Linked DNA regions of Daphnia pulex. The protein of the gene in region 2 interacts with the protein of the main gene of each other region in a pairwise test. Links are inferred from orthologs where the notes say so. Each region holds a gene or a part of one and is shown on either strand. Other genes may lie near its edges. The genes, in order: uncharacterized protein LOC124191462 and serine/threonine-protein phosphatase PP1-beta catalytic subunit.

Region 1 (4,373 bases), on a different chromosome or scaffold from region 2:
CAGGCAGCGTGTTATTTACCTTTTGCTTGAGGACGGCATCGGTGGAGGACGGATTCATGGCAGATTGCGGAGGTGCACCAGGGGTGTTCCAAAGCATTGCATTCTGTTGCGTTTGAAGTGCCAAATAGCTCTGCGTGGAGCTGGCAGTGTCGCGACCAGTTTTGGCACCGGGTACTACCAAAGGAAGTGTCCTGTACGGCTAATAATGTTTTCAGATTGATTACGTATTTACATGATTCTGAAACACTGATTGATCAAGTGAAAGCTTTGCCGAGCCGATGTCGGGTAATCACGCAACTTCCGTTTGCTATTCATTTTGAAAACATTTAGGGCAACTAGTCACGAATCAGATCAAACCTATGACTCGGCTAATGACGAAGGGATCATTTTTCAGATCGCATGGCTATTATACTGTAATGCATTGAATGAACGACATGATAAAAGGATTGGTTCTGCAGGACATCTGGCAGCGTGAATCGGAACCACCAACAAGCTCGGTGCTGCCATTCGGCTTGCGGGAATTTAGCATCGAATGGCATTTTTTTTTTTACCTGGTGAGTGACGACGATCCTTTCACGGTTGCGATCCATTTCTTCGACTTGTTGGTTGAATTCGTTGATAGCTGAGCTGGGGAATATAGTGACTGGCAGATTCTCAACAGGACTTAGCATAATCTCCGAAATCGTCCTGTTTGAAGCTCCCGCTTGGGTCGGCGCCTAAAAATATTCGTGGTTCATTCGTGATAAGAAACAAAGTTCCAGAATAACCAGATGGAAAAATTATAAAAAAAAGGACAAATTAATGTAGATACAATTTTTAAAAACTGCCAGTCTCAATGGAATTGAGGGATTGATTTCATAAAAAATGTTAGTCGTTGATTAGCCCTAGCAACTAAACAAGAAGAGCATCATCTCGTGAGTGACAATCAAGCGAATTCGTGCAGGTAGTACATTGTTATGACACGGAAAGGAGAACAAAAAAGAATAGAAGTGAGAAGTGTTTAGAGGTGATGATGTGGGTAACGCAACCTTATAATGCGCATTGATTTGAAATGTAATGGCTCTGCTTTCTGACGTACTTTTTGACACATTGAACCGGAAGAAGCGACAGTTGAAGGAGCGGGGGCGGCGGCGGATGGAGCAACAACGGGGACAGCGACCGGGCGCAAGGGCAGTCCACCTCTACAGGTGCGCATTTTGTTGTTGTCGATTTGTCATCAATAATGAAACCCCCAATCGGTTAATCAAACCGACAAGTAGAGTCAAATGTATACAAAAATCAGATATTTGTATGAAAGACAAATGTTGTAAATCAAGCGAAAGGTTTGAAAAGTCTACCGCTGAACGGTGACAGTCATGGTGGTGCCGGCGTTCTTGATCAATTCGGCAGCTTCGCGATGGGTCATTGTCGAACAAGGACGGTCGTTGATTTTGGTCAAAACATCACCGCGACGCAGTTCGCTACCCACGGCCACCTGATTCACACACGACCATCAATCAATGCAAATCTCTTAACATAATATCCGCCTCGACCCCCATCATCAGCACGGTCCGTTTTAATCGTTTGCTGACCCGCTAAAGTCCCGTGACTGAATCTATTTTTAACTTCTTTTTTCCACGGCAATATCTTTTAACTGAGCCATTCTTGGAGCCATGAAAAGAACAGGGCAATTTCACCAGGAATGTCAGAGTCATTAATATGCTGAAGTGTTTATACCGAATGGCATGAAGGGGGGCCCTCTGTCTTTCAGCGACCGCTGATAGTAAAGAACACGGGCGAGGTGGCCAGCAGAATGTTGACCAACAAAAAAAGCGTGAAAAACAAAAAAAATCAAACTGGGCCAGCATGTAGAACGAGGTCAACATGACGACGGACGGACGGTATGCCATATCGTACTCTGCTGGGCGCTTCACCCAAACGAATATTTAATTTTAGGCCCGAGCTTCGGTGCCAAAAAGAGAAAGAGAGAGAGAGAACCACCGACACTCTCGACAAAAGACTCCCGTCTCATTTTGGCGAGCGCAAGTCGTGAAGCTGCAGAAACCGCGCACGACTTTGTGGGGCAACTGGCAAAAAAACAATCAGGAAATGGTCCGCTCTCTCTCTCTCTCTTCCTCTTCGCAACCCCGGCCATTTCCTTAAAATAGGAAATCAAGACCCACAGAATTTGTCACGACATTTTCTCAATAATTATCAGGGACTTTGAACGTAGTATAACAACGGGGATTGAAATTGGAAAATAGGGAAATTTCACCCTTTGAATGATGAATGCCTCTCGGATGTCGGTTCCTCCTCGGAGCCGGAAGCCGAAAGGTTCGCCGCACCCATCTCGCTGCAGGTTCACGGTCAATTCCCCAGCACTCATGACGGTCATCATTTAGATGAGAGCTCTTTGAAATTGGCTAAAATATGGGAGATGATGTATATAGTATATACGTTTCAGCTGGTTGTCGGATTTTTTTCTTTCAGCCAAATATAATACGAAGCAGTTCACGACGGGAAAAAGATTTCACGATTTGACCTAGACCTGATGGTCTCTTGAGGTAACAAGAGAAAAGACTGGCCTCAGATGAAGAAGATTCAAACTGTGTTTGTGTTCAATTCAAAATGAGAATAGAGAAAAACACTGAGGAGCTGTCGCTTAGGTGGAGAGAATAGAGGAGCGAGTGGGCGTCCGCGACTCGCAATAATACTCGACTGATGAAGGCGAAAAACCCGAAGTCTGCACTGTGCCGTGCACACAGGATCCTCCCTACTGTCTCACTACTCCCGCCGTCGCCAGGGCTAAAGCTTCGTTCTTTTCTATCCTGCTCTGCTGACGGAAATCTTTTCTCTCTTTCTTGGCAGCACCGGGAGGGCGGCAAGCTCGGCCGAACTGAACATCGTGCCAAAATGAAACAAAACACACAAACCCGACACAATTCTTAGCGATGCCAGACTCGTATACCCACCACGGGACGCAAAAGTGGCGGATAGAAAAAAGCGGAGCAACACGTCGACGATAACGTCGTCAGAGTCGCCCCAACAACGAACAACGACGACTTCAAGGGCAAACAACAACCGAGTCGTTGCCTTATGCTCAATGTTGCGGGCCAACATTGCGCAATTCGCAAAAAAGGTCGTCGCACTTTCCCACACGAGAGGATCACATGATCGCTGGTTCTAGAAAATTATTTTCTCTTGAATATCTACGCAGTTGACAAGAGCGCTATGCCCGTTGATCATTAGCGGGTATTCAGGAAGTGTTGCGCATTTGAATTCGCGTCGTTAAAAGTGTAGAAGAGTCCAAACACTCACAGGGGAAAAAGAAAAAAAAAAGAAATTCCAGGCAAACAAAATGAGTTGTACGGTCCTAAAATAGGTGCAAGCTCTTTTCTTTCTCGCAATATATAGTAGAGTTAGGTTGGCCGGCGCAGCAAACGGCGTGTCCGCTCTTATTTTTTAAAAACCGTGTCCGATGTTGTTTGTCTGGGCTGCCATTTCAAAAGGCAGAGGTCCATGACACACACACACACACACAGAGGGGCAGCTAAATTGTCGGGTTCATCAAGCTGGGAGCCCTCTCTATCTCATTAGCGTATAGGTCGCCCCGTAGCTTTTTTGGCGCGGCAGCCAAAAAGTGAAGAAGAAATTGACTCCACGTGATCGGCTGATGCCGTGCCCACGCAATATCAGCCCAAAATCTTCCCTCTATACCTACTGGTGGTGTTGACACATTTCAATCCAAACGGATTCGTCATTCAATGAATCAAAACATTGTCTCTGATCCTCTGGCGCTTTTACTATTTTCGCCCCCCTCCCGACGACATGCCATCGGGATGACTCGGTTCACGAAGCATGTCGCTGATAGCATTCCAGAACGATCGACTCAGTTCTTAAAATGATATGATTCCTTCGAGAAACTAGAAGATTTGAATTCACGAATAATCTAGAACATTCTCTTGGGATCTAGTCGCTTCTATTTTACTGATGACTGCTCGTTTATTTCACGCACTATTGCGCAGTTTGAAATCATTTTTTGTTTTTCGGGAAAAAAAACTGTCCTGTCTCGCTCTGATACCGCCCCAGCGTTGACGCCTGACTTTCTGTGTTATAGTTGTGCTTCTTCTTTGAATCCTGATGTAACCTTGGCATACATATTTCACCATCGTGGGATTCGATCTTTCTTTTGCCTCCCGTCCGAATGGAATGGCGACATTCAACGCCCGAGTGAGATAAAAATGTGTCCTCGTTGCGTTGACTCGATCAACAGCCATCGATCATCATCTTATGAATGAGCCAGCCCCCCCACCACCAAAGAAGAAATGCACAACAGGATCGCTGGATCAAGTATAGCAAAAAAAAACAACAAAAAAATCCAACAATTCCGCACA
Region 2 (4,065 bases):
TTTTTTCATCATTAGATGCTATGTGTCGAAAAGCTAAAGTGTTTTTCCACTGTGATGGAGCCCAAGCTCTAGGTAAAATTCCAATTGATGTTGAATCGATGTCAATTGATTTATAAAGGTATTTTACAATTTAATATATGATTGTTATTTCGATGTAATTCACTCTTTTTTCGCATCATTCTTTTCTTGAACTTGAACAAAAGGTGTTGGTGCTCTTTACGTGATAGGCCGACCACGGGTTAGGATTGAAGCTCTGCAAAGTGGAGGTGGTCAGGAATGAGGGATACGTGGTGGAACAGTTCCTACTCCACTGACAGAGTGACAGTTGGTTTTGGCGCAGCATGTGAAGTAGCTCAGCAAGAACTTAAGGTTTTAGTTCATGTCATAGTAGTATCCATACATAACTAATTGATCAAAACCATGTTTTAGTATAATCATGCCAGATTAGTAAACTATCGCAACGCTTGATCGATCAGATTGGTAATAGTTTAACACATGTCGTACGAAATTGAGATCCTGAACACTCCTACCCAGGTTGTGTAAACCTTTCTTTCGCCTACGTCGAGGGAGAAAGTCTTTTCATGGCCCTGAAAGGTAACTTTATATAAAGGCAACTTCCACTACCTTTCATTTTAACTAATTCTTTTTATTACGTAAGACGTGGCACTCTCAAGCGGAAGTACTTGCACCTCAGCATTGCTGGAACTTTCATATATTTTGCGGACCATTGGCGCTGAAGAAGATTTGGCGCATTCTTCTATTCGATTTGGAATTGGGCGATTCACCACCGAAGCTGAGGTTGATTACACGGCAGAAAAGTGTATTCATCAAGTATCACCAAACTTCGAGAAATGAGGTATATACCGACCAGGTTTGGAATTCCCAGACAAAAAGCTTATTTTACTTCCGCTAAAAATGTTAATTTGTCCTTCTTCCTTATTTGTTTATTTTTGTCGAAATGAAAATTTATAAATGCAACGTCGTTCTTTTTTTTTTTTTATGGTCAGTGTTTTAAAAAAGTAGAAGAGTATACAGAGTACAATAAAATAAAAAATTACAGAGTAAAATAAAAAATAACGACAAGAAAATGAAGCACAAGAACAAGACTGCCTAATTCCAAAATTCTTCCAAGATAGCTCTGTCACTTAGCCGAAGGCCAACGCTTGCAACGCGAGCCCTAGTTTCCCTAGCAGACGAAAGCCATGTCTCAAGTTCAGGTGTTTACATCCAGATGGTGCTGCACAACTATTTTAATCCCGTCTGACTTTTCGATGATGGCGGACGACCTTAATGTTGACAGTATTATTTCTCGATTGTTAGAAGGTAAGTCATTATGAATTAAAAATTTTGATTAAAACTAATAGAGCAGTCTGAAAGCTAGGAACTAAGTGGTCTCATTGATACATCTTTTATGCGTTCAATAGCTTCTTAGACTACTTTTTTGGTGTAGAACTGCAAAGGGCTTCAATTTTCAATTTCGAAAATAATGATTACGTTGGCAATTTTGTGACGCTAAACAAATTCTTGAAACCAATATTTCCCCATCTTCTTATTTATATTTAAATGAAACTAAATGGTCTCATTCAATGGTAATAATTTAAGGTTCTATACAACTTGATTAGAGTATTTATATCACATACCCACAGCCTTGTTCCTTGCCCTAAAAATGAAATTGTCATGTGATTACCTGTAAATCAAATTGTTAATCACTAACCATTTTTTTTTATGTGTTTTGTAACAGTGAGAGGATGCCGGCCTGGGAAGTCTGTGCAGATGACAGAGGCTGAAGTTAGGGGCTTGTGTTTAAAATCCAGAGAGATTTTCCTTCAACAGCCAATACTCCTTGAGCTAGAAGCACCCCTGAAAATTTGTGGTATGCACTAATTTTAACAAATTTCATTCTTATTTTTTTTACTTGGGACTTCCAAAGAGGTAGTAAATTATATTTTCTGTTTGGTATTTTCAGGTGATATTCATGGCCAGTATACAGATTTGCTAAGATTGTTTGAGTATGGAGGTTTCCCCCCTGAAGCAAATTATTTATTTCTTGGCGATTACGTGGATCGCGGAAAACAGTCCTTGGAAACCATTTGCCTTCTACTTGCTTATAAAATCAAGTACCCTGAAAATTTCTTCTTATTAAGAGGAAATCACGAATGTGCATCCATCAACAGAATTTATGGCTTTTATGATGAATGTAAGTAACTATCGTTTTCTAAATGGCCATTTTTTAGAGTGATGTATTCTGCTTTATCTTAGGCAAACGGCGGTACAACATTAAACTGTGGAAGACTTTCACCGATTGTTTTAATTGTCTTCCTATCGCCGCCATAATTGACGAGAAAATATTTTGTTGTCACGGCGGCTTAAGTCCCGACCTACAAAACATGGACCAAATCAAACGTATTATGAGGCCGACTGATGTACCTGACACTGGTAAACTTCGACTTGGCTTTTACACCTGAAATATATATAACATCATATGTGGCTGATTTGTTTTACATTCAGGCCTTCTTTGTGACCTGCTGTGGTCCGACCCTGATAAAGACGTGCAAGGATGGTCTGAAAATGACCGCGGCGTTTCCTTCACTTTCGGAGCTGATGTTGTCAGCAAATTTTTGAATCGCCATGACCTTGACTTGATTTGCAGAGCTCATCAGGTCGTAGAAGATGGTTACGAATTTTTTGCCAAACGTCAACTGGTTACTCTCTTTTCTGCGCCAAATTACTGCGGGGAGTTTGACAACGCGGGCGGCATGATGAGCGTTGATGAAACACTTATGTGCTCTTTTCAGGTATTTCTATTGAATGTTTAATATTTGTAACTCAAATTTAAAATTTTTCCAAATTCGTTAGATTTTGAAACCCTCGGAGAAGAAAGCAAAATACCAGTATTCTGGTATCAACGCCACGAAGCCGAACGCAGCTGCCAACAAACCAGTGCCCAAGAAGAAGTAATAGTTAGTAAGAGTTATTGTAAGCTTAATCCTATTGAATTATTTGATCGACTTAACCTTTCAACCGGAATGTGGTGGGAGCCATCAATGCCCAATTTCCCCTTTTTAACAAATTCTTACAACTACTATTTCTGTTGCCCTCGTCACACAATTTGGAGGACAACGTTACTCCTTCGCATGCTTCGTCAGCGTCTTCATTTTTTTCCTCGTTACTTACCACATCTCTTTCTCCCTTCATTTAGTGTATATCCTCTGTAAATCAAACAAATAAACCAACATGATATCAGCAAACTTGAACATGCTTTCCTTGTATGACGCAATGAAACAGTTTACAATTACGTCGGAAAAGATTCAGTCGACAAGCCGCGTTAATGTCAAAGTTCTCAATCCATTAAGCTGACTGTGTATTTCATATGGACAACGAGGCAGTCTTTCTTTAATTTTTAGAGCCAAGAATGTGAAGAGCCAACTCTTCGTCCATAGCCAAATCCAGGCCAGTGTCAAATTTACTGTTCTTAGCTGGTTTCTGTTTCTTAGGTGGCTTCTTCTTGATCCATTTTTGTTTCGTCTTTGTAGGTGTGGGAAGTTCTTCGCTTTCACTCGGTTGTCGCCGTTTCCTAATTATGAGAAAGAATTAATAGAATTCCAACTTGGTTTCAGCCAAATGTTTGTACCTTGTAATCGGGGTAGGCTTGACAGGTGCTTCGTCATTGTCACTTTCACTATCATCTTCACTGTCGTCATCTTCTTCACTCTCGCTCGGCAATCGCGAGCGTTTCCTAAATAAAGACAGAATTACTTTATTGGAACAAACGAAAATTAAATGGGAGATTTCTTACTTTGCAACAGCTGGCCCTCTGTAAACCTCACCTTCTTCTTCGCTATCATCTTCCTTGGCGCCGTAGATGCGATCGGGATCGGGTAAAGCGTCTATAATTTCTCCGACTGAACCATCGACACTCTCGTCACCTTCAGACTCTTCGTCCTCCTCCTCACCTTCGACATTCGTTACTTCTTCTTCCTTCTCTACCCGGTTGGCAAGTCTACGCTCTGCTTTGGCTTTGAGTCGATCTTCGCGATGTTTGGCTTTAATACGCTGACGGAAGAT

What was found.
Region 1: the proteins of serine/threonine-protein phosphatase PP1-beta catalytic subunit (region 2) and uncharacterized protein LOC124191462 interact in a two-hybrid assay, tested with the Drosophila melanogaster proteins (2 studies listed by BioGRID). The link is inferred for Daphnia pulex from reciprocal best matches to the Drosophila melanogaster genes flw and Zasp66.

Annotation. Positions count from the first base shown.
Region 1 is NC_060019.1:9,912,267-9,916,639, reverse strand, and holds the start of uncharacterized protein LOC124191462, read right to left. Parts: upstream 3,029-4,373; 5' UTR 2,378-3,028; coding exon 2,255-2,377; intron 1,475-2,254; coding exon 1,338-1,474; intron 1,182-1,337; coding exon 1,079-1,181; intron 717-1,078; coding exon 552-716; intron 200-551; coding exon 20-199; intron 1-19.
Region 2 is NC_060021.1:5,451,936-5,456,000, reverse strand, and holds serine/threonine-protein phosphatase PP1-beta catalytic subunit, read left to right. Parts: upstream 1-1,184; 5' UTR 1,185-1,202; coding exon 1,203-1,323; intron 1,324-1,386; exon of another isoform or gene 1,387-1,573; coding exon of another isoform or gene 1,574-1,589; intron 1,590-1,741; coding exon 1,742-1,873; intron 1,874-1,966; coding exon 1,967-2,197; intron 2,198-2,259; coding exon 2,260-2,436; intron 2,437-2,508; coding exon 2,509-2,795; intron 2,796-2,856; coding exon 2,857-2,958; 3' UTR 2,959-3,248; downstream 3,249-4,065. Other genes in the region: probable ATP-dependent RNA helicase DDX10, read right to left, coding at 3,394-3,574, 3,632-3,736, 3,797-4,065. UniProt on the Drosophila melanogaster protein: Required for cell adhesion in non-muscle tissues and in maintenance of muscle attachment. Vital for larval development.